3 linked regions of the Anolis sagrei genome follow. The protein of the gene in region 3 purifies or fractionates together with the protein of the main gene of each other region. This does not show direct contact. Links are inferred from orthologs where the notes say so. Each region holds a gene or a part of one and is shown on either strand. Other genes may lie near its edges.

The links.
Region 1: the proteins of WRAP73 (region 3) and CEP135 purify together in Homo sapiens (co-immunoprecipitation; 6 studies listed by BioGRID and IntAct, counting the BioPlex papers as one, with this or other methods). This does not show direct contact. The link is inferred for Anolis sagrei from reciprocal best matches to the Homo sapiens genes WRAP73 and CEP135.
Region 2: the proteins of WRAP73 (region 3) and OBI1 purify together in Homo sapiens (affinity purification with mass spectrometry; 3 studies listed by BioGRID and IntAct, counting the BioPlex papers as one, with this or other methods). This does not show direct contact. The link is inferred for Anolis sagrei from reciprocal best matches to the Homo sapiens genes WRAP73 and OBI1.

The regions. Positions count from the first base shown.
Region 1 is NC_090025.1:73,424,639-73,432,904, reverse strand, and holds the start of CEP135 (centrosomal protein of 135 kDa), read left to right. Parts: upstream 1-5,023; 5' UTR 5,024-5,158; intron 5,159-7,377; 5' UTR 7,378-7,423; coding exon 7,424-7,536; intron 7,537-8,266. Other genes in the region: EXOC1 (exocyst complex component 1), read left to right, coding at 348-500. UniProt on the Homo sapiens protein: Centrosomal microtubule-binding protein involved in centriole biogenesis. Acts as a scaffolding protein during early centriole biogenesis.
Region 2 is NC_090023.1:116,801,183-116,809,209, reverse strand, and holds the start of OBI1 (ORC ubiquitin ligase 1), read left to right. Parts: upstream 1-4,824; 5' UTR 4,825-4,981; coding exon 4,982-5,053; intron 5,054-8,027. UniProt on the Homo sapiens protein: E3 ubiquitin ligase essential for DNA replication origin activation during S phase.
Region 3 is NC_090033.1:11,947,119-11,955,244, reverse strand, and holds the start of WRAP73 (WD repeat-containing protein WRAP73), read left to right. Parts: upstream 1-4,984; 5' UTR 4,985-5,074; exon of another isoform or gene 5,075-5,078; intron 5,079-8,126.

The sequences.
Region 1 (8,266 bases), on a different chromosome or scaffold from region 3:
TGTTATATAAAGTTGCACATACACATTAAGTGGGCCTCTGGTATTTACTGTGGTTTGGTTCCAGGACCCCCATAGATACCACAATCCATGGATGCCTGTTATATACGATTATGTAGTAAAATAGTATCCCTTATATAAAATGGCAAAATCAAATTTTGAATTTTTGATTGTTTTTTTTTTTGGGAGGAGAGGGAATATTTTCAATCTGTAGATGTAGAATCCATAGATACAGAGGGCTAACTATATTTACAACACTGCTATCCATTAGTAGGACAGGCCTGGAGGTTTGAAGTGGAACCTCCGCCAGTATTTTCATTATTAAAACTCCACTTTCTTCTGTTTGTCAGGTGGTGTGGCACTCAATGCAAGATGAGTTCATTCGGCAATACAAGCACTTTGAAGGCTTAATAGCACGTTGCTACCCTGGATCTGGAATTACTATGGAGTTCACTATCCAAGACATTTTGGACTACTTCTCCAGCATTGCACAGTCTCACTAATATCTGCCAAGCAAGATAAGCTGGCAAGCTTTCTGAGAAGAATGTTTGACACTGGAGATATTGTTGCTTTGAGAGTTGGCATTATAAAGGGGTATCTGTAACTGCGCTCATCCTAGCAACCAGTGGCCTAAGCCAAAATGCTACTTAATTACTGGATTTTTAAAAAGTGTTAAATTGTACATTTTCATATGTAGTACAGTCTTGGTAGTTTTACTTTCCACAGGATATTATTAGTTCTGTGTGTTCCTGGAGTACCACACACACTATGCTTCCCTATTCAACTGTAGTTCCTAGAAAATATGCAATTTTAAAGTTGTTGTAAACAGCTAAAGGAGAACTATTGTATCAAAGCATGTTAATATATTGATGGTTAGGATAGCCAAGATTATGCTCTTCAGAATCACTTTACATGACCATTGTTGTAATTCTTCTGAAGTAAAAAAAGTTACATACATAACCTGTGGAAGATTGTTAGTTGTGCTTGAGCAGTTCACAAAAGAAAATCGACAACTGTTTATCCAGTGAGTCATCCAAAGATTGTGTTCATACTTTTCTCTTACTAGTAATAGAAGGATGCTATTGGAAGCTTCCTTTAAAAACACTGAAATAACTTATGGAGATAAAAAGCAATAAAATGCTACAATTCATGGAGCGCAGTTACCTTCCTGCTGAAGCATTACCTATTGATCTACTCATACATATTTCCATGTTTTCTAACTGCTAGGTTGGCAGGAGCTGGAGTTAACAGCGGGAGCTCACCCTGCTCCCAGATTCGAACCTGCAACCTTTTGGTTAAGCAAGTTCAGCAGCTCAACAGTTCAACCCACTTCACCACTGGGGGCTCCATAATGGAAGTTATAAGTAATATTTTATATAAAAGGCTCAAGATTTTTCTGTCCATGATCTAAGCATAGCCAGTGAAGCCAGTAAAATAACACCTTGGACCCTCTCTACACTAAGACCCCTTCTACACTGCCATATAAAATCCAGATAATCCACTTTGAACTGGATTATATAGTATTGTAGACTCATATAATCCAGTTCAAAGCAGATAATGTGGATTACCTACTTTGATAATCTGGAAGTGTAGAAGGGGTCTTAGACAAAATTTTGTTGAATTGGTTGAGAGACTATGAGATACTCATTGAAAAACTATAGCAAAATATGCTGTAGGATGTCCCGCAAAAACAAAGCTTTTGCAGTTTAATCAACTTTCCCCATGTTTTTATGATAGAACCAATTATAAAATGACATTTCTAACCCAGGAACAAAAATCGTGTTACTTAATGTAATCACAGGCACTGTGTCTCAGGATCAGAGCACCTCAGTTCAGGAAGAATTAAAACATTTAATTGGTTACAGTTGGTTTCCTCCGCCTACATATCTGCCTTTCCAGAGTGTTGCCGATGCCACTTTCTCAAGCTGTTCTTACATTTAAATTCTGTGTATGAAGACAATATGATCAAACATCCCTCATAAGGTTTAGTAGTCACCAAACAGCGTTTGTGCCCTGGGGACAGCAAACGAGAACCACTCCACGTTTTAAGTCAAATGAGTTTGCTACAGTGTATTCTAACATTGTCATATAGCAGATGCAAGTACGGTCTTATTGCACTTTTAATCCTTTTCTACAAAAATGCTCAAGGCAACTAATACACGGTAAAATGATTAGACTCAATCATAATCACTGAACATCAAAAAGGGGAGCGGTTGAGCATTATGCAATCCTCCAGATGTGTTGGAGCGGAAATATCAGTTGCCTTAGCCAGAGTTCACTGGCTTCTGGAGGCCACATGTTTATCATTTTTGTCTGTTTTGTTTTAAAGAAGAGGACAAATTGAACTGGGCTCTCAACTGGTGAACCTTGAAAGTCTTTCGGTTGCAAAAAAAATAACAAACTTGTATGGTACGACACAACTTATGGCCCTTCCACACAGCCATATAACCCAGAATATTGAGGCAGATAATCCACAATCTCTGCTTTGAACTGGGTTATCTGAGTACACACTGTCATATAATCCAGTTCAATGTGGATTTTATACAGCTGTGTGAAAGGGGCCTTAGCTGTTCCATTTTGCAACAAATGAAGCTGATTGGTAATCAGATTTTTTTTTTAAAAAAAAAAACAATCTGCCATAACTAGGGGCTGAAAGAGTCCAGATTTCATCAGGTCTTGAAAGCTAAGCAGGCTCAATCTTGGTTAGCCCTTGGATGGGAGACTGCCAGTTAATACCAAATGCTGGAGGCTATATTCCAGAAGTATGGAAGTGGCAAAACCACCTCTGAAGATTCCTTGCCAATGGGTCCTTCCACGCAGCTATATAACACTGAATATCAAGGCAAATAATCTGCAATATTTGCTTTGAACTGGGCGCCCTTCTACACAGCTATATAACACTGAATATCAAGGCAGTTAATCTATACTATCTGCTTTGAACTAGGTTATTGTAATAAGAAATTCAATGTGCAGAATTGATAAATGTGAATTTAATATATGTGTGGGAATGAATGGAAGGATGTATGGGATGAGTTAATAATTTTTGAAACACCAGTAAAATATTAAGGCCTGCAATGACTAACTACCCACTTGCTGGACTGTAATTAAAAGTTGCTAATAAGATCTGAAAAGTAAACTCTGATAAGCACTGGGACAGTGATAACAGAAATGTTTACAATGTTAAGAAGGAAGTCAACATAAAATCAGCACCAATCAAGAAGAATCAAGATCTGGCCAGGAAACAGATGGAACCAGGATGGAAGACGTCTATCATTAATTTACAACTTTGGGACTACATCAGCAGAATATTCCCATAAAAGACTCAATCTAATAATTCTCAAATTGTGACAGACCTGAGGAGTCTGGTTCACCCACTATGCTCTGCTCCATGAGAAGGAGAGATATAGTGTACCATGGAGTGGCAGATTTGCACTGGAGCAGTCTGGTCACTTTGGGGCTTTTTTCTCAAGAGAAGAGGAAGAAGTGCACTTTTGGAGTCTTAGTTTTGTGTGTGGAATCAAGTTCTGCTGTATGGGAAACAGAGATCTGGTCCTTGGCATTGTGCTTAGGGAGAAGATGCATTTTGAAGTTTTGAACTTATGGAAGTTTTGGAACTATGTGTTGGCAGGCTGCAGGAAAGCAGGGTCTGGCCTAACAGGTGCTTCTCGGTACAGTAATATTTGTGCAGGGCCGTAGCCAGGATTTTGTTTTGGGGGGGGGGGGGTTCTGAGTCCAAGTGAAAGAGGGTCTGCCCTAGCAAACCTTTTGTATCGTTACACCAATACCCCCATGCATATGGGATATATTGAGCATGGTGATCAGATCATGATATGAATAATCATAACAGTTTAAATAATGTATCAAGGCCTTCTCGCGGACCACCATGAGAATTTCGGGGGGGGGGGGTGAAGCCCCCCCAAGCCCCCCCCCCCCCGGCTATATGCCTGCACATGTGTGTGGTGATTGAAAATGTAATTCACCTTTGTCTGTTAACCAGTGTAATTGTGAATCCAATGTAGTTGCATAGAATCTATATGCCTATGTCGAAATGATTTTCTGTAATCTGATATACCCCCTCACACTGGAAATTGCAATAAAAACAACCTATGCTTTAAAGTTATTGAAAAGTAATTCATGAGATTATCTGAGTCCACACTGCCATATAATCCAGTTCAATGTGGATTGTATACAGCTGTGTGGAAGGTGCCTCCCAAACTCTGCTCCATCCAGTATTTTGGAGTTCTGCCCCCAGAATCTGATTATTGGGGGAAGCTGCTGCAAATTTAAGTCCACAACATCTGGAGGGACAGGGTGCCCATTAGGTTCTTGTAGGTTTTTTCGGGCTATAGGGCCATGTTCTAGAGGCATTTCTCCTGACGTTTCGCCTGCATCTATGGCAAGCATCCTCAGAGATAGTGAGGTCTGTTGGAATTAGGACAATGGGTTTATATATCTGTGGAATGACTGGGGTGTGGCAAAGAGCTCTCTGCTGAAGCTAGGTGTGAATGTTTCAGCTGACCACCTTCATTAGCATTTGAAGGCCTGGCTGAGCCTGGGAAAATGTTCTGTTGAGAGGTGTTAAGATGTGCCTGGTTGTTTCCTCTCTGCTGTTTTGCTGTTGTAATTTTAGAGTTTTTTAATACTGGTAGCCAGATTTTGTTCATTTTCATGGTCCCTTCCTTTCTGTTGAAATTGTCCACATGCTTGTGGATTTCAATGGCTTCTCTGTGTAGTCTGACATGGTGGTTGTTGGTGTGGTCCAGCATTTCTGTGTTCTCAAATAATATGCTGTGTCCAGGCTGGTTCATCAGGTGCCCATTCATTCCCATTCACTTGCTGCAGTAGACCAATCCGGAAGCGCGAGCTGTCCTACAATCGGCCTGATTGGCTCCTGCGGTCTGGAGGGGCGGGAGTAGTAAAGGACATCGACAACTGCAGTTGCGTGTGCGTCATTCTCCCTGATGCCCGCCAGGGGCCGCTGTGGGGCGGCGGGTGAGGCGCGCGACGCTTGCGACGGTTGCCGGGGCGACCTTGGGGCGGAAGTTGCCGACGCTCCGCGCGCCATTTTCAAACGGCTTGCTAGGCCCGTCCGCTCTTTCTTTCGGCGGAGGGAGAGGGAAGCAGCACCCGGTGGTGTGGAGTAGATGGCCTCCCGGAGCTGGTGAGTGGGAAAAGATTCAGTGGGGCTGTCAGCGTGCCTGGCCTGAAAGAGAGCGCGGCCGAGATTGGAGGCCGCGAAGGCCCGTTTCCATGGCGACGCGGATGACGAGAGGGCGGTGACGTCACTTGGAGTGGGAGCCCCTCTTCGAAAGGCCCCCAGGCTGCTACCAGAGCGCGCTGAGGTGGAGGGCCTTCCCTTGAGGCTTCACCGCTTCCTATCCTTACTAATCACCGCCAGGAAATCCCTGTAGCCTTTCAGCCAGGGCAGACAACAGCTTTACCTCCCTTCAGTGTCGAAAGGAATGTTATTGTGTGCTTCCAAGTGGTTTCCTACTTATGGCAACCTTATCATGGAGTTTCCCAGGCAGAATTTCTTCAAAAGAGGCTTGCACTTCCCTTCCTCTGAGGCCCCACCCACACAGCTGAAAATAACCCCACATTATCTGCTTTATTTATTTATTTGCGACATTTATATTTATTTATTTATTTATTTGGGGTTCTTTTACCCCTCCCTTCTCACCCCGAAGGGGACTCAGGGCGGCTTACAAAAGCAAAGGCACAATTTGATGCCTGCATCATAAAAACAATCATACACAAAATTACATCAATACACAGTTAACAACAATTATGCATTAGAACCATGAAATCAATGAAATCAATAAAACCAAATACAAACCCAATTTCTCCTCTTACATGGTCAGCGTTCGCTACTCATAGATCTAGTTTTACGTTCCACTTCATCAATCCAGTCTTACTCGCCTGGTTGTCTGATTTAGTTGCCGGAGTGCCCAAAGGCCTGGTCCCATAACCAAGTCTTCACCCTTCTCCTAAAGGCAAGGAGGGATGATGATGCCCTGATTTCCCCCGGGAGTGAGTTCCACAGGTGAGGGGCCACCACTGAGAAAGCCCTGCTCCTCGTCCCCACCAACCTCACTTGTGACAGTGGTGGGGTTGATAGCAGGGCCTCCCCAGATGATCTCAGACTCCGAGGTGGGACGTAGAGGGAGATACGTTCGGACAGATACACTGGACTGGAACTGTACAGGGTTTTGTAGGTCAAAACCAGCCACCCTTCTCTCCCTGAAGGGGACTCAGAGCGGCTTACAAAACATATAAACATACAACATATTATATTATTAGCATAGTAGGTAAAGGTAAAGGTAGTCCCCTGACATTAAGTCCAGTCATGTCTGACTCTGGGGTGTGGTGCTCATCTCCATTTCTAAGCCGAAGAGCCGGCGTTGTCCATAGACACCTCCAAGGTCATGTGGCCGGCATGACTGCATGGAGCGCCGTTACCTTCCCGCCGGAGCGGTACCTATTGATCTATTCACATTTGCATGTTTTCGAACTGCTAGGTTGGCAGAAGCTAGGGCTGACAACGGAAGCTCACGCCGCTCCCCGGAATCAAACCTGCGACTTTTCGATCAACAAGCTCAGCAGCTCAGTGCTTTAACTCACTGCGCCACCGGTGGCTCCTATTAGCACAGTACAATATCAGTATCATATATATATATATATATATATATATATATATATATATGGAGCCCCCCTGGTGGCGCAATGGGTTAAACTCCTGTGCCGGCAGGACTGAAGACTGATAGGTCACAGATTCGAATCCGGGGAGAGGCGGATGAGCTCCCTCTATCAGCTCCAGCTCCTCATGCGGGGACATGAGAGAAGCCTCCCACAAGGATGATAAAAACATCAAAAATCATCTCGCCGTCCCCTGCAGATGGCCAATTCTCTCACACCAGGAGCCCTGAGAGAGTGTGATTTACCAAAGTCACCCAGTGGGTTCCCATAGCCAAGTAGGCGTTTGAAGTCTGGCCAGCAGAGTTGGAAGAGGCCACATGGCCATCTAGTCCAATCCCTTGCTATGCAGGAAAAGCACAATCAGTGTCCCTGACAGATGGCCATCCAGCCTCTGTTTAAAAGCCTCCAATGAAGGAGCTTTCATCACACTCTGATGTAGAGAATTCCACAGCTGAACAGTTCTTACAGTCAAGAAGGGAAGCGTATTCAGAAGGGTCATACTTCAAACACTAATAAGGAAGTACCAGCAGCATGATCTAAAAGGGGTGGTGGCATCAATGCAAGGAAATATCTCCATAACAAAACTGGAAGACATGTCATATTGATCTATACCTTATCTTAAATGAGTGTCCCTACTCAGCCCTCATGCTCGTGTAATGTGCACATTTTTCAAATTACTTGCAGATTCTGATTGTTAACCCCAAATATCTCTGCTACAAATATCTTCACAATGACTACGGCTGCAGAGAGAAAGTTTGTTAATCTCAGGAAGCATTTGGATCAGCTGGGATATCGACAGCCTCTGGGAATAGAAAGCCTCCCATTGGTGGAAAAGCTTTTCAGGTATTGAAACAAAATGATATAATAAAAAGTACGCGGGATGTATCGGTATTATAGAATTAATGCAGTTTACACCACTGTAATTGTCATAACTCAGTGCTGTGGACTGATGAAAGTGGTAGTATGGTAAGGCACCAGAACTTTTGGCAAACAGAACCAAAGATCTTGTAAAAATATTACAATTTCCGTGGCAGTTAAAGTGGTGTCAAACTGCATGGTCACTTGTATAAATAAAAGTACTCACCAGAGCAGAACAATTCCTTGGTTTCTGCACAATACATTTCTGAATATAGGCATTTTGCATTTGGGTTTTGGTGCAAGCTCAGCAAGATGTCCGATCCTCTTCCTTTCCTATCCATGACAAGTAAAATATTCCTAGGCTGTTTCATCTTCCTTACAAGCTAGATAGCGATTAATCCAGACTCATTATAAAGACCAGAAAGTCACAGATTTTGTTCCAGTAATTTCTGGTTTTATTTTGGAGATGGTACGTGTTTTGTTCATCCCAGAATGTTTTCTGTCAGCTCCCATTATGATCAGTGACTTTTTTATACCATCTCTCTAGGACGGTTTATTTTAATTCAGTTTAAAATCGAAAGAACAGGAGCAATATTGGGACTTTTCAACCAGTTCGAATGTGCTTTGAGATACAGCAGTTGTCCCTCATGGATGAGGTATAAAGCTTTTTTTTACAAAACAACACCACTATGGATTTCAGCAATGGAGGCGCATC
Region 2 (8,027 bases), on a different chromosome or scaffold from region 3:
ATCTCTGTGCATTAATAAGAGCGCTTTTTTGGCTCTAAATGAGGCATGGACTTGCTACCAATCTCACTTACCAGCAGACCCACCTTCCTGAATGCATGGCTGTACTCATGATACATTTGGAAACCCGTGGCTTGTTAAGAGACTAGATAACATTTTTAAAGGGAAAAAAACTGATATTTTTCAAGGCACCCAACTGCTGGTGTTTAATAGCAACATTAGCTGTGGCAGTAGTGACATAGACATTTCCTTGTAGCGAAGGGCTCCCAAACCTTCAGACCCCAATTGTACATGGTGCTATGCATTTGCAAATCTTCCTGCTGAGCATTGGCAGCATCAGTGCTCCAAACACAGCAATATGCACATGCAACTCTCCTACTGCTGCTGGCCCGTTGGCAAGCAAAATCTAAAAGTTCTGCCTCCATTGCTCTGTTGCTGCCAAGATTCAAGCTGCAAGTGTTGTTCCTTCAGGTTAAGAAAAAAGTGAGTATTTTGCAAACCTAGTACAGGCAGTCTGCAAGTTGTGAATAAGATATGTTCTGTAGCTTTGTTCTTAAGTTGAATTTGTAAATAAGTTACATAATCTTTTAGCTTTGGCTAGCATAAGGAAGGGTTAACACCCCTGTGGTGTTCATTTTGCTGTCTGTGCCTCTGTTCAGAAGATTTCACATCTCTTTCTGTCCCTGTGAGAATTGGATTTTGAAAAATTTAGCTTGCTGTGGAAACAAGAATTTGAGATAAAGCCTCAGTTGAAACACCTTTGCCTCATGATAACTCTTTCAGGAATGAATATCCATTCTTACGGTTAGATTTCTCACACTTCCTGTTGTCTCACCCCCGTTTTTAACTATGAGTCATCTGTAAGTCTGATGGTTGTAACTAGGAGACTGCCTGTACAATTTTTTTGGAGAGATTAAAGAAACTTAACCTCCATCTACACTGTTGAATTCATGCAGCTTAACACCATTTTAACTGTCATGTTTCAAAGTGATGGGATCATTAGATTTGTAGTTTGGTGAGACATCCCTACTTTCTGGAAGAGAAAGCTAAAGGTCTTGTAAAACCACAGTGCCCATAATTCCATGGCATTGAGCCGCAGCATCAACTGCATTAATTCTACAGTGTATATGCACCATTAGGGAATATCCATTCAAACGGATTGGTTGGTTATTCAAGACAATGGAACGATTTCTTTTCCCAGTATATGGTCAGGCTGCAGGAGTGACCAGACTTTTAAAGCCAAGGGCCAGTTCACAGTCCCTTATTCTGTTGGAGGGCCAGAATATAGTTTGCAAAAAAAATGAATGCATTCTTATGCACACTGCATATGTCTTATTTATAGTGCAAAACAAACAAACAAACATGGAAGAACAATACAATATATAAAACAAAGAACAATTTTAACCAACGTAAATGTACCAGTCTTTTAATGGGAAGTGTGGGCCTGCTTTTGGTTAATGGGAGAGTCAAGTTAATTAGAATTGTTGTGTGCCTTCAAGTCATTTCAGACAATGGCATATTCTGCCTCAGAGTCTGGTGGAGTCTCCTTCTCTGAAGTCTTTTCAGCAGAGTCTGCACAGCCATCTGTTGGGAGGGCTTTGATTGTGGCCTGTAGTTGCCCCCTGACTCTCCCTTTTTCTTCCCAAGGAAGGAGCCACAGCAAAGGGAAGCCTTTTTGGAAAATGTGGGGGGCCCTGATCCCCAAGAAGGAAGGAACGAAGAGAGGCAGGAACTCAAGAAAGGGAGGGAGGGAGGCCTAGAGAGTGGGGTTGTGGAACTGGGGCCGCAATTGGCCCCCAGACTGGACTTTGGACATGCCTGGGCTATAGAATCCATTGCCACTTGGATGGGAGATCACCTATGAATGCCAGGAACTCTGGGTTACATTTCAGAAAAAAGAACTGGTAAAACCGCCTCTGAGTATCCCTTGCAAAAGAAAACCCTGTGAAATTCATGGGGTCTCTGTACGTTGACAGGTGATTTAAATCCACAGTAGACTTGAAAACACAGACACGGCTGGGAAATACAGAGCAGTGAGATTATAATTTAGTCAGCCAATAGGGGGCTCTTTGAGGCTCTCAGAAATTGCAATTCCAACTCTATTTTAAAAATAATAATAACTAAAACTAACAAGATACAGCGATTCTTCTTTTTAAAAAGTGTTGTTAACTAATAACTACATTTTAAAATTCACTTCCCAAATTTCAACATGTACATAAGAAAGGAAAATGATTGTACTTAGAACACTTTCCTACCTTTGAATTGTACCCATTAGGAAAAAGGGGAGAAGAAATTCTCTGAGTGTGGTCTCAATGCCTCTCTTGTTCTTTTTATATAAAAGCGAAAATATGTATGTTGTATGTATGTAAGTTTGTATCTAATCTATGTATCTATTTCCCAAGATGGCTTACACTTCCAGGGAGCAGTGTGACTCCCACAAACAATCGATCTAAACCAAACTTACCCTGCATAACTAACAGAAAATACTGGAGGTGTTTGGGGGGACAGACCCAACATGATGGAGCTGTAGTCCACCTACACCCTTGGAGAACTGTGAACCCTATCAACTATGGATCTGGACCAAACCTGGCGCATTTACCCATTATGACCAACTTTAACAACTGTTGGGGTTTGGTGGGAATGATAGGAGTTGTAGTTCACCCTGCATCCAGAGAGCAGTGTGAACCCCACCAATGATAGATCTGAACTAAACTTGGCACACACACCCAACATGACAAACAGAAAATACTGGTGGGGTTTGAGGTGGATTGACCTTGGATGCATTGTGCATTTTCTTAATAGAACCATTCATAAAAAATTTAAAAAGCTTTAAAAATATAAATAGCATTACAAATTACCAAATACTTAAGCTGGACATTGCCGGGTACCTAAACTCAGGGAAAATGAAGTGTGTTTTAAAACATTTACTTGAACAGTTGATCCAGTGAAGTATAGTTGGCCCTCCATATCCAGATTCTGCATCCACAATTTCATACATGCAAGACTGAGAACAAGCCATGAGAATAAAGACGAAGATCCACCCAGAGGAAAAGTGTTCTTGCCATACATCAAGGGAACCACTGACCGCATAGGGAAGCTGATGAGAAAACACAACATACAAACTATCTACAGACCCACCAAGAAAATCCAATAAATGCTACGTTCAGCAAAGGATAAGAGGGATCCTCTCACCTCTGCAGGAGTCTACCGTGTACCATGCAGCTGTGGACAAGTCTACATAGGGACCACCAAACGTAGCATTGCCCAAACACGAATCAAGGAACATGAAAGGTACTGAGGACTACTTCAACCAGAGAAGTCAGCCATAGCAGAGCACCTGATGAACCAACCTGGACACAGCATATTATTTGAGAACACAGAAATGCTGGACCACTCTCACAACCACCATGTCAGACTACACAGAGAAGCCAATGAAATCCACAAGAAGCATGTGGACAATTTCAACAGAAAGGAGGAGACCATGAAAATGAACAAAATCTGGCTACCAGTATTTTAAAAAAACCCTATATATATTTATTTACTTTATGCTATTCTCACCCCAAAGGGGACTCAGAGCAACTTTTTCTTTTCAAACCATGGATGTATGAAATTGGGTTGTTGTAGGTTTTTTCGGGCTATATGGCCATGTTCTGGAGGCATTCTCTCCTGACGTTTCGTCTGCATCTATGGCAAGCATCCTCAGAGGTAGTGAGGTCTGTTGGAACTAGGAAAAAAGGGTTTATATATCTGTGGAATGACCAGGGTGAGACAAAGGACACTTGCCTGCTGGAGCTAAGTGTGAATGTTTCAACTGACCACCTTGATTAGCATATAATGGCCTGACAGTGCCTAGAGCAAACTTTTGTTGAGAGGTGATTAGATGTCCTTGTTTGTTTCCTCTCTGTTGTGCTGTTGTAATTTTAGAGATACACACACACACACCAAAAGCAAACCTTGATTTTGGACATCCATAGATTTTGGTCTCCACAGGGGGTGCTGGAACCAAACCGCAGCAGATACCAAGGGCCTGCTGTAGATGTAACATGGATGGGCTAAGTTAGCCACAGAGTTGCAGTTGCCCATCCCTGGTTTACAGGGGAAACTAGATCTCGAAAATCCTTGTTGCAAAAGTTATTTGGTGAGTCTGTGCAGTCTCTCCCAATCCCATTAACATCAGACAGAAAGCAGGACTGACTGAATCCAGTATTTTGCCGTGGGATCCAGTAAACATGGGGCACACATCTACATTGCAGAATTAATGCATTTTGACACCACTTTAACTGCCATGGCTAAATACTAAAGGATCATGGAAACTGGAGTTTGGTGAGGTACCAGGACTCTCACGAAAATTGCAACTCCCTTGATTCCACAGCATTGAGCCGCGAGAGTTAAAAGTGGTGTCAAAATGCACTAATTCTGCAGTGCAGATGCACCTTTGAACCCTTTGATTTCAACGCACTTTTTAAAAAAAACTGCAGAAAAGTATATAACAATCCATGCAACTTTTTGCCACTTAATCACACTAGAGAATGAATCGACTTTAAATCCGGTTGCTGCCTCCTACAGAATTCTGGGGTTTGTAGTTTAGGGAGGAGACTTTGACAGCCTCACTTGTATTGGTTTCATTGTTTGGAGTGATTTGTCCCCCTGTCCTTGTGCAACCGTGCTGCTTCCTTTGGCAATGCAGGGCCCCAGCTCCAGGCTGCAATTCCCTGCCCCGCCCCGCCGTGGGAGGAGGCCAAATCCGGGGGAAAGGGCGCGCGCCGTTCCCTCTCCATGTGCTCGGCTCCTCCTCCCGGCTCTAAGGGGGAAACGCTGAAAGGAGAGGAAGATTGGCCTCGCCGGCTTGCCATACTCGAGGCAGCGTGAGCGCCGCGTGAGCGCCGGGGAAGCCGCGCCTGCCTTGGCCGCGGGGGCTGTAGTGCGCGCGCGCTCGCTGGCTGGCTTCCGGGCTCGCCTGCCTCTTGGAACGCTCGCGCTCGCCATGGCCCAGAACGTTCAGAACGTCACACTGTCCCTCACGCTGCCCATCACTTGTCACATTTGCCTGGGAAAGGTAACCCCACTCGCGCTCGGGAGGGAAATTCGGGGCGCTTCACCCACGCCACTCCCTCGGCTGCCCATGGAGGCTGCCTGCTGGCCACATGGCCCTGCTCTCAGCAGGCAAGAAGGCTAGGAACCCCTTAAAAACCCCACCAAAACGAAACAAAACACCCTCCCTTCCCAGACATGAAACCCATTGTTCCTAAATCCTAGTGTTTTTTTATTCTTGTTCGTGGCTGTGGTTCCTTGTAGAGGCCTTGGATAGGATCAGTGATTCTTGGATGCTCATCCTTCAGTCCCCCTCCTTTTCCCCATTTCAGGCCAATCCCTGGCATTCCCATTGTTGTTGTTTTTAATGGAGGTTTTAGGATGGGTGCCAATAACAAGGTAGGCCAGGTCACATCGTGGAATCAAAAGGATAGGGGACCTCATGGAACCCAATGGAGAAATAACAAAGTGGGATAAGATAAAAGATTAATATGGTCAAGGGAACTGGATAGCATGGTTAGGCCTGTCCAGTAAAGCTCAGGCCATGAAAAGAAGAGAAGTAGCAGAAACCCTACTAGACAGAATAATTAAAAGGAAAATAGAAATAGATAAATGAATTATTGGGCTGTTGTATGAGGAACTAATCACCTTAACTTACAACACAAAAACAACCCTTATAGAAACTTTAGCAAGAAATTAACTAAGTCTTGGATTGACCACATTCAGAAAATTAAGCATATGAGGATCAGAGAAATCCAAAGCAAAGTAATCTCTAAATGGTAAAGAACCCCCCATCAATTAGAACACAGAATGGAAAATATTTCCAACAAGTGTTGGCATAATTGATGGGGAAACGGTTTATTCTCCCACATGTGGTGGGATTGTAGAAAAATTCAGAACTATTATAGTAAAATAAGAAATGAAATGGAGGAAATATTAGGGAAAGAATTAATGTGGGATAAAGCCAGATTCTTGTTCCTCACAATAAAGGCAAAAGGAAGATAACAATAATTGGACAGAGATCCTAAAATATATGACAGCCGCAATACAAGCCACAATAGCCCAAGGATGGAGAGAGGATACAAAATGGGATTTAGAAACTTGGTGGGCTTATCTATCAGAATATATAATTCATGATTTCATCAATCAAAGGAAAAATAAGTATATGAATAGTCAAAATGAACAAGACTGGTTCAGGAAATGGTCTGTGCTCATTGACAAAACAGACCGAGACAACAGATATTGCATTTTGAATCAGGCTTTCAACATGGTTTAACTGATGCAATGACATCATTTAGAATTGCTGTTCCAGGGGGGTGGGGAGGGCGGGGGTGATGGGCAATACATAATTAAGGAATGTATAAAATGTCATTTAAGGTATATTTACTTTTGGAATTATGTATACTGAAATAAGTCCTGTATGGCAAAAGTTTGTTAATTGTTGGGATGTTTCAAATAAAATGTATAATTATATTTTTTAAAAATCACATAGTGGTACATCTATACCAGGCATCCGCAAACTCCAACCCTCCTGCTGTTTTGGCCTCCAACTCCCAGAAGCCCTAGCCAGCTTGTTCAATGGTTAGGAATTCTTGGAGTTGGAAACTGAAACAGTTGGAGGACTGGAGTTTGATGATGCCTGATCAACAAGTGGAATGAATGCAGTTCATTCCATGGCACACAAAAAATCCATGGCTCAATGCTGTGGGATCCAGGGAGTTGTCGTTTCTGGCAGAGAAGGCTAAAGGCCTTGTAGAACTACAGATTCCATGGCCATGGCAGTTGAAGTAGTGTCAAGCTACACTCATTCTGCAGTCTAAATGCAGCCATGGGAACCTTCAATTCTAATGAGAGCACCACTTGTTGATGCTCATGTGATTTCTTGATAGTTGTTCTCAGAATTGAGAAACTGAGAAGTTTGTAATAATTTTGTAACGAATTGAGCCACAGCAGGCATAGGCAAACTTGGGCCCTCTGGGTGTTTTGGACTTCCACAATTCCAAACAGCCTCAGGTGTCTTCCTTTTCCCCCTCAGCCGCTTATGCAGCTGAGGGGGAAAAGGAAAGGGCCTGAGGCTGTTAGGAATTGTGGGAGTTGAAGTCCCAAACACCTGGACGGCCAAAGTTTGCCCATACCTGAGCTACAGTCTAAAACTTATTCTGATCTGTGGCGATTTCTGGTTTGTTTGTGGCCTCACCTGCTTCTGTTGTCCTTCTTCACCTGATCTCCCTCTTTGGTCATGTCTTTCCTATAAAAGTGTGCTTGGTTCACTCTGCGGTTTTGTTTTCTGTGCTTTGTGATCATAAGCTCTTTAACTGGCTTTTTTGCTTTTACTATCTTCTGTCAGAACTACTTGTTTGGTCCTGGCTATTCCCTAATCGTGGTCCACCAGTTCTGTCTTCACGTAATTTGAAACATGTGGCTTGGTAGAATACCACCTGTGTGTGCCTTCAAATCACCTGTTGATTTATGACAATCCCACGAATTTCATAGTTTTCATAGGAAGACACAAGGTGGTGTTTTTGCCAGTTTCTCTGAAATGCAATCTGCAACCTCTGGTTTTCATTGTTTGCTTTCCATCCAAGTATTAACCAGGTCTGACCCTTTTTAGCTTCCCCAATCAGACAGGATCTGGTGCCTTCGGGATATTTAAACCTCATTAGAATTTTAATTAATGTTTGTTGGGTGGAAGTGGGAGAAATTGTCCATTCACTTCATAAGACACTTTTACAGTCAGGTGACGGTTTATTTGTTTATTCTTATCAGCTGGTGCTTGCTTTAGTACTGCAGATTTTAGTCTGAACTTTAAAGGACCTGTCCAAGGTGCTGAACCTATTTGAGACCTGGAGCTTTAGTATATGTTCCTTCAAGTTCACATCACATTGTTTGCTAACAGTATGCAAAGTCCGATGTCTTGCTGTATTGCAAAATGTTAAGGAATTTAATGGCGATATTTAAGGGAGATGTTGACAAGCTGGAATATGTCCAGAGGAGAGTGA
Region 3 (8,126 bases):
CTATAAATCCCAGCAACAATAACTCCCAAATGTCAAGATTCTATTTCCCCCAAACTCCACCAGTGTTCACATTTGGGCATATTGAGTATTCTTGTAGAGTTTGGGCCAGACCCATCATTGTTTGAGTCCATGGTGCTCTCTGGATGTAGGTGAACTACAACTCCCAAACTCAAGGTCAATGCTCACCAATCCCTTCTAGTATTTTCTGTTGGTCATGAGAGTCCTGTGTCCCAAGATTGGTTCAATTCCATCATTGGTGGAGTTCAGAATGCTCTTTGATTGTAGGTGAACTATAAATCGCAGCAACTACAACTCCCAAATGACAAAATCAAATTTTTTTTAGTGAAGGACATACATTGGACTGTTAGGTGTCTTGTGTCCAAATTTGGTGACAATTTGTCCAGTGGTATTGGAGTTCTGTTAATCCCACAAACGAACATTACATTTTTATTTAAATAGATTTAATTTAATTTAATTAATAATCTATTTTTATATTATATCCTACTTGGATAACGAGGGATCGCCTAAGTAAGTTTTTTTATTAAAGTATGTAAATGTTGTTGTTGTTGTTGTTATTATTATTATTATTAAGTTGCTACCCCTCTATTCTGTTTTGGTTAGACCACATCTGGAATATTGTGTCCAATTCTGGGCACCACAATTCAAGAGAGATATTGACAAGCTGGAATGTGTCCAGAGGAGGGCGACTCAAATTATCAAGGGTCTGGAGAACAAGCCCTATGAGGAGCGGCTTAAGGAGCTGGGCATGTTTAACCTGAAGAAGAGAAGGCTGAGAGGGGATATGATAGCCATGTATAAATATGTGAAGGAAGTCATAGGGAGGAGGGAGCAGATCAAGGGTCTGAAGAACAAGCCCTATGAGGAGCGGCTTAAGGAGCTGGGCATGTTTAGCCTGAAGAAGAGAAGTCTGAGAGGGGATATGATAGCCATGTATAAATATGTGAGAGGAAGCCACTGGGAGGAGGAGGGAGCAGGCTTGTTTTCTGCTTCCTTGGAGACTAGGACGCAATGGAACAATGGCTTCAAACTACAAGAGAGGAGATTCCATCTGAACATGACTGTGAGAGCCGTTCAGCAGTGGAACTCTCTGCCCCGGAGTGTGGTGGAGGCTCCTTCTTTGGAAGCTTTTAAACAGAGGCTGGATGGCCATCTGTCAGGGGTGATTTGAATGCAATATTCCTGCTTCTTGGCAGAATGGGGTTGGACTGGATGGCCCATGAGGTCTCTTCCAACTCTTTGATTCTATTATTATTATTATTATTATTATTATTATTATTATTAAGTTTTAGGGAGCTGTCCAAACAGGCTGCAATACCCCGACGAGGCTGGATGGTCATCTATCAGGGGTGATTTAAATGCAATATTCCTGCTTCTTGGCAGGGGTTGGACTGGATGGCCCATGAGGTCTCTTCCAACTCTTTGATTCTATGATTCTATTATTATTATTATTATTATTATTATTATTATTATTATTATTATTATTATTATTATTATTATTATTAAGTTTTAGGGAGCTGTCCAAACAGGCTGCAATACCCGGACGTGGCCACATGATGGCAGCAAAGGAGAGTACATTGGAGCAAAAGTTTTGGGGCAAAAGGCAATTTAATAGAGCAGAAAACCCAGGCGGGTGCAATCTGGACATGTCCCCTAGAGGGCAGCAAAGAGACCGCACGATTAGAACGAAGGAGCTCATTGGGACCCTGCCTGGGGATGATGGGATCCGTTGGCTCCAGACCTTGTCAAAACAAACCAAACAAACTACAACTCTCGCGATCCCATAGCCTGAGACCTTGTCAAAACAAAGTACAACTCTCAGGATGCTATAGCTAATGAATAAATGAAAGAATGAATTTTCTCTCCACCCCCGCAGTTTGGAATGGAACCTTCGGAGCGGCATTGAGTAAATAGGACTCTGGACGGAACCATTCCAAAGGAGGGGAGTCTTGGAGAGTTTGGGTCCCTTAATAGCCCATTTCCCGGCTTCCTCGCCCCTTACCTGCCTGGCTCTGGATTCCAAGGTGGCAAAGGAAGGTGCCTATTCCTGTGGCTTGGCTCTGACTCCCCTCCTTGCCTCGTCCAGCAGTCAATGGGTTTCTATGGAGGGGGAAAGTCGCCTGGTTAACCCTTTCCCTCCAGGGCAGAAGCAGAGGGAGAGGGAAAAGGCGCCTTTTGGAGGCCAACCGGCGGGAAGGGAGGGAGGGAGGAGGGAGGGCTGCATTGATTGGCTGCAGAACTATTATTATTATTATTATTATTATTATTGTTTCTCCCAAATGCAAACCATCTAAAACAGTGTTTCTTAGCCTTCCTAATGCCTCTTATTGTGGTGACCCCCAATATTATTATTATTATTATTATTATTATTATTATTATTCTCCTTGCAACTTCATAACTCTAATTTGGTTACTGTTATGAATCACAATGTAAACATCTATTTTGCAGGATGTATTTTCATTCACTGGACCAAATTGGGCACAAATACCTGATATGCCCAAGTTTGAATACTGTTGAGGTTGGGGAAGGGGATTGGTTTTGTCATTTGGGAGTGTAGGTGAACTACGACTCCCAGACTCAAGGTCAATGCCCAACAAACCGTTCCAGTATTTTCTGTTGGTCATGGGAGTTCTGTGGGGGAAGTTTGGTTCAATTCCACTGTTGGTGGAGTTCAGAATGCTCTTTGATTGTAGGTGAACTATAAATCCCAGTAACTACAACTCTAAAATGTCTATTTCCCACCAAACTTAACCAGTGTTCAAATTTGGACATATTGAGTATCTGTGCCAAGTTTGGTCCAGAGCTATCATTGTTTGTGTCCACAGTGCTCTCTGGGTGTAGGTGAACTATGACTCCCAAACTCAAGGTCAATGCCCACCAAAGTGTTCCAGTATTTTCTGTTGGTCATGGGAGTTCTGTGGGGGAAGTTTGGTTCAATTCCACTGTTGGTGGAGTTCAGAATGCTCTTTGATTGTAGGTGAACTATAAATCCCTGCAACTAGAACTCTAAAATGTCTATTTCCCACCAAACTTAACCAGTGTTCAAATTTGGACATATTGAGTATCTGTGCCAAGTTTGGTCCAGAGCTATCATTGTTTGTGTCCACAGTGCTCTCTGGGTGTAGGTGAACTATGACTCCCAAACTCAAGGTCAATGCTCACCAAACTGTTCCAGTATTTTCTGTTGGTCAAGGGAGTTCTGTGGGGCAAGTTTGGTTCAATTCCACTGTTGGTAGAGTTCAGAATGCTCTTTGATTGTAGGTGAACTATAAATCCCAGCAACTACAACTTCCCAATGACAAAATCAATCACCAGTATTCAAACTTGGGCTTATCAGGTATTTGTGCCAAATTTGGCCCAGTGAATGAACATATATTTCTGGACCATCTTAACAGCATCCACCCAAACATCCAATTCAGCATGGAAAAAGAAAATGAAGAGTCCTTTGTCCCACCCTGGTCATTATTCCACAGATATATAAACCCCTTTTCCTAGTTCCAACAGACCTCACTACCTCTGAGGATGCTTGCCATAGATGCAGGCGAAATGTCAGGAGAGAATGCCTCTAGAACATGGCCATATAGCCCGAAAAAACCTACAACAACCCAGTGATTCCGGCCATGAATCCTTCTACAATATATAACATTTGATGTGTAATATTTTATTATCTCTGGTTAACTTTTAATCTATAATATTTATATTTAATTAATAATATTTATATCCTATTTATTTAACATTTAATCTATAATATTTCTATTATATTTAATTAATAATATTTCTATTATATTTATATCACATTTGATCTATAATATTTTATTATATCTAGTTAACTTTTAATCTATAATATTTATATGTAATTAATAATATTTATATCCTATTTATTTAACATTTAATCTATAATATTTAATTATATTTAATTAATAATATTTCTATTATATTCAATTAATAATGTTTCTATTATATTTATTTAACATTTAATCTCATATTTATATTATACTTAATTAATAATATTTCTATTATATTTATATAGTATTTGATCTCTAATATTTTACTATGTCTAGTTAACATTTAATCTATAATATTTATATGTAATTAATAATATTTATATCCTATTTATTTAACATTTAATCTATAATATTTAATTATATTTAATTAATAATATTTCTATTATATTCAATTAATAATGTTTCTATTATATTTATTTAACATTTAATCTCATATTTATATTATATTTAATTAATAATATTTCTATTTATCTAACATTTAATCTATAATATTTTACTATATCTAGTTAACATTTAATCTATAATATTTATATGTAATTAATAATATTTATATCCTATTTATTTAGCATTTAATCAATAATATTTCTATTATATTCAATTAATAATGTTTCTATTATATTTATTTCACATTTAATCTATAATATTTTATTATATTTAATTAATAATGTTTCTATTATATTTATTTAACATTTAATTAATAATATTTTACTATATCTAGTTAACATTTAAGCTAAAATATTTCTATTATATGTAATTAATAATATTTATATCCTATTTATTTAACATTTAATCTATAATATTTTATTATATCCAGTTAACATTTAATCTATAATATTTAATAATATTTATATCCTATTGATTTAACATTTAATCAATCATATTTCTATTATATTTAATTTTTATATCCTTTTTTTGACATTTAATCAATAATATTTCTATTATATTCAACTAATATTTGTATTCTATTCAGTTAACAAGGTTTCTAATATATTTACTTAGTCACAATGTTAATATTATTTACCTAATATTTAAATAGCACTAATTGCAACCACAAAAAACCAGAAAAAGTGCTCAGTTTGAGAGGAAACCCTGCGAAACTACATTTCCCAGCATACCCTGGGCCGCCGCGCCTCCTCTAACCCCGCCCTTTCCGGTCTGGCTAAGGCCCGCGAAGATTCGTCCTGATTGGCGGGAATCTTAGAATCCGGCGCGGGAGGGGCAGCGTTGCGTGAGGGGTTCTTCTCCCCTCAGGGCGCATGCGCGTGAGCTTGGTCTGTATGTCTGCCTCTCTCTCCTTTTTGACCCATAGTTTGACCCAATTCCCTCTATTTCCTCCTATTTTTCTGTATTAGACATCTCTATATTGTCTCTAACTACATAGATAGCAGGCCTGGGCCAACTTGGGCCCTCCAGGTGTTTTGGACTACAACTCCCACAATTCCTAATAGCCGGTAGGCTGTTAGGAATTGTGGGAGTTGTAGTCCAAAACACCTGGAGGGCCCAAGTTGGCCCAGGCCTGCTATATACCTATATTATCAACTATATCTGTCTCAAACCCCTATATAACTCTCTATAGTCTCTATACCATCTATTCTATGTATTTATACATAATTTAATAATATTTCATTTATATTTATTTAACATTCAATTAATATTTCTGTTTTATTTATTTAATAATGCATTCCTTTAATATTTATATAAAATGTTCATATTTACTATTTATTATATTTGCTTAACATTCAATTAATATTTCTGTTTTACTTATTTAATAATGCTATCCTTTAATATTTATATAAAATGTTCATATTTACTATTTTTTCTACTATATCTGCTTAACATTCAATTAATATTTCTGTTTTACTTATTTAATATTTATATAAATATTCATATTTACTCATATTTTTCCTATTATATTTGCTTAACATTCAAGTAATATTTCTGTTTTACTTATTTAATATTTATATAAATATTCATATTTACTCATATTTTTCCTATTATATCTGCTTAACATTCAATTAATATTTCTGTTTTACTTATTTAATATTTATATAAATATTCATATTTACTCATATTTTTCCTATTATATTTGCTTAACATTCAATTAATATTTCTGTTTTACTTATTTAATATTTATATAAATATTCATATTTACTCATATTTTTCCTATTATATCTGCTTAACATTCAATTAATATTTCTGTTTTACTTATTTAATATTTATATAAATATTCATATTTACTTATATTTTTCTACTATATTAGCTTAACATTCAATTAATATTTCTATTTTACTTATTTAATAATGCATTCCTTTAATATTTATATAAAAATTTCATATTTACTAATATTTTTTCCTATTGTATTTGCTTAACATTCAATTAATATTTTTGTTTTATTTAATAATGCATTCCTTTAATATTTATATAAAATTTTCATATTTACTAATATTTTTTCCTATTATATTTGCTTAACATTCAATTAATATTTCTTTTACTTATTTAATAATGCATTCCTTTAATGTTTATATAAAATTTTCATATTTACTAATATTTCTATTATAGTTGCTTAACGTTCAATTAATATTTCTGTTTTACTTATTTAATATTTATATAAAAATTCATATTTACTTATATTTTTTCTACTATATCTGCTTAACATTCAATTAATATTTCTTTTACTTATTTAATAATGCATTCCTTTAATATTTATATAAAAATTTCATATTTACTAATATTTTTTCCTATTATATTTGCTTAACATTCAATTAATATTTTTGTTTTATTTAATAATGCGTTCCTTTAATATTTATATAAAATTTTCATATTTACTAATATTTTTTCTACTATATCTGCTTAACATTCAATTAATATTTCTGTTTTATTTATTTAATAATGCATACCTTTAGTATGTATATAAAATTTTCATATTTTTTCTATTATATTTATTTAACATTCAATTAATATTTCTATTTTACTTATTTAATAATGCGTTCCTTTAGTATGTATATAAAAATTTCATATTTACTAATATTTTTCCTATTATATTTGCTTAACATTCAGTTAATGTTTCTGTTTTACTTATTTAATATTTATATAAATATTCATATTTACTAATATTTTTCCTACTATATTTGCTTAACATTCAATTAATATTTCTATTTTACTTATTTAATAATGCATTCCTTTAATATTTATATAAAAATTTCATATTTACTATGATTTTTTCCTATTGTATTTGCTTAACATTCAATTAATATTTCTGTTTTACTTATTTAATATTTATATAAATTCATATTTACTTATATTTTTCCTATTATATTTGCTTAACATTCAATTAATATTTCTGTTTTACTTATTTAATAATGCATTTCTTTAATATTTATATAAAATTCATATTTACGAATATTTTTCCTATTATATTTGCTTAACATTCAATTAATATTTCTTTTATTTATTTAATGATGCATTCCTTTAATGTTTATATAAAAATTTCATATTTACTAATATTTTTTTCTACTATATTTGCTTAACATTCAATTAATATTTCTTTTATTTATTTAATGATGCATTCCTTTAATGTTTATATAAAATTTTCATATTTACTAATATGTTTTCCTATTATATTTGCTTAACATTCAATTAATATTTCTGTTTTACTTATTTAATATTTATATAAAAATTCATATTTACTTATATTTTTCTACTATATTTGCTTAACATTCAATTAATATTTCTATTTTACTTATTTAATAATGCATTCCTTTAATATTTATGTAAAATTTCATATTTACTAATATGTTTTCCTATTATATTTGCTTAACATTCAGTTAATATATCTGTTTCATTTATTTAATAATGCATTCCTTTAATGTTTATATAAAATTTTCATATTGACTAATATTTTTTCTACTATATTTGCTTAACATTCAATTAATATTTCTTTTATTTATTTAATAATGTATTCCTTTAATGTTTATATAAAAATTTCATATTTACTAATATGTTTTCCTGTTATATTTGCTTAACATTCAAATAATATTTCTGTTTTACTTATTTAATAATTCATTCCTTTAATATTTATATAAAAATTTCATATTTACTAATATTTTTTCCTATTATATTTGCTTAAAATTCAATTAATATTTCTGTTTTATTTATTTAATAATGCATTAATATATGTGTGTGTGTGTGTGTGTGTGTGTGTGTGTGTGTATATATATATATATATATATATATATATAGCTATATCATCTATATCTCACTTTATATCTTCCTCAAGCTGTACTTCTATAATATTGTTTCATTTTCCGCCCCTATTTTTTCCCT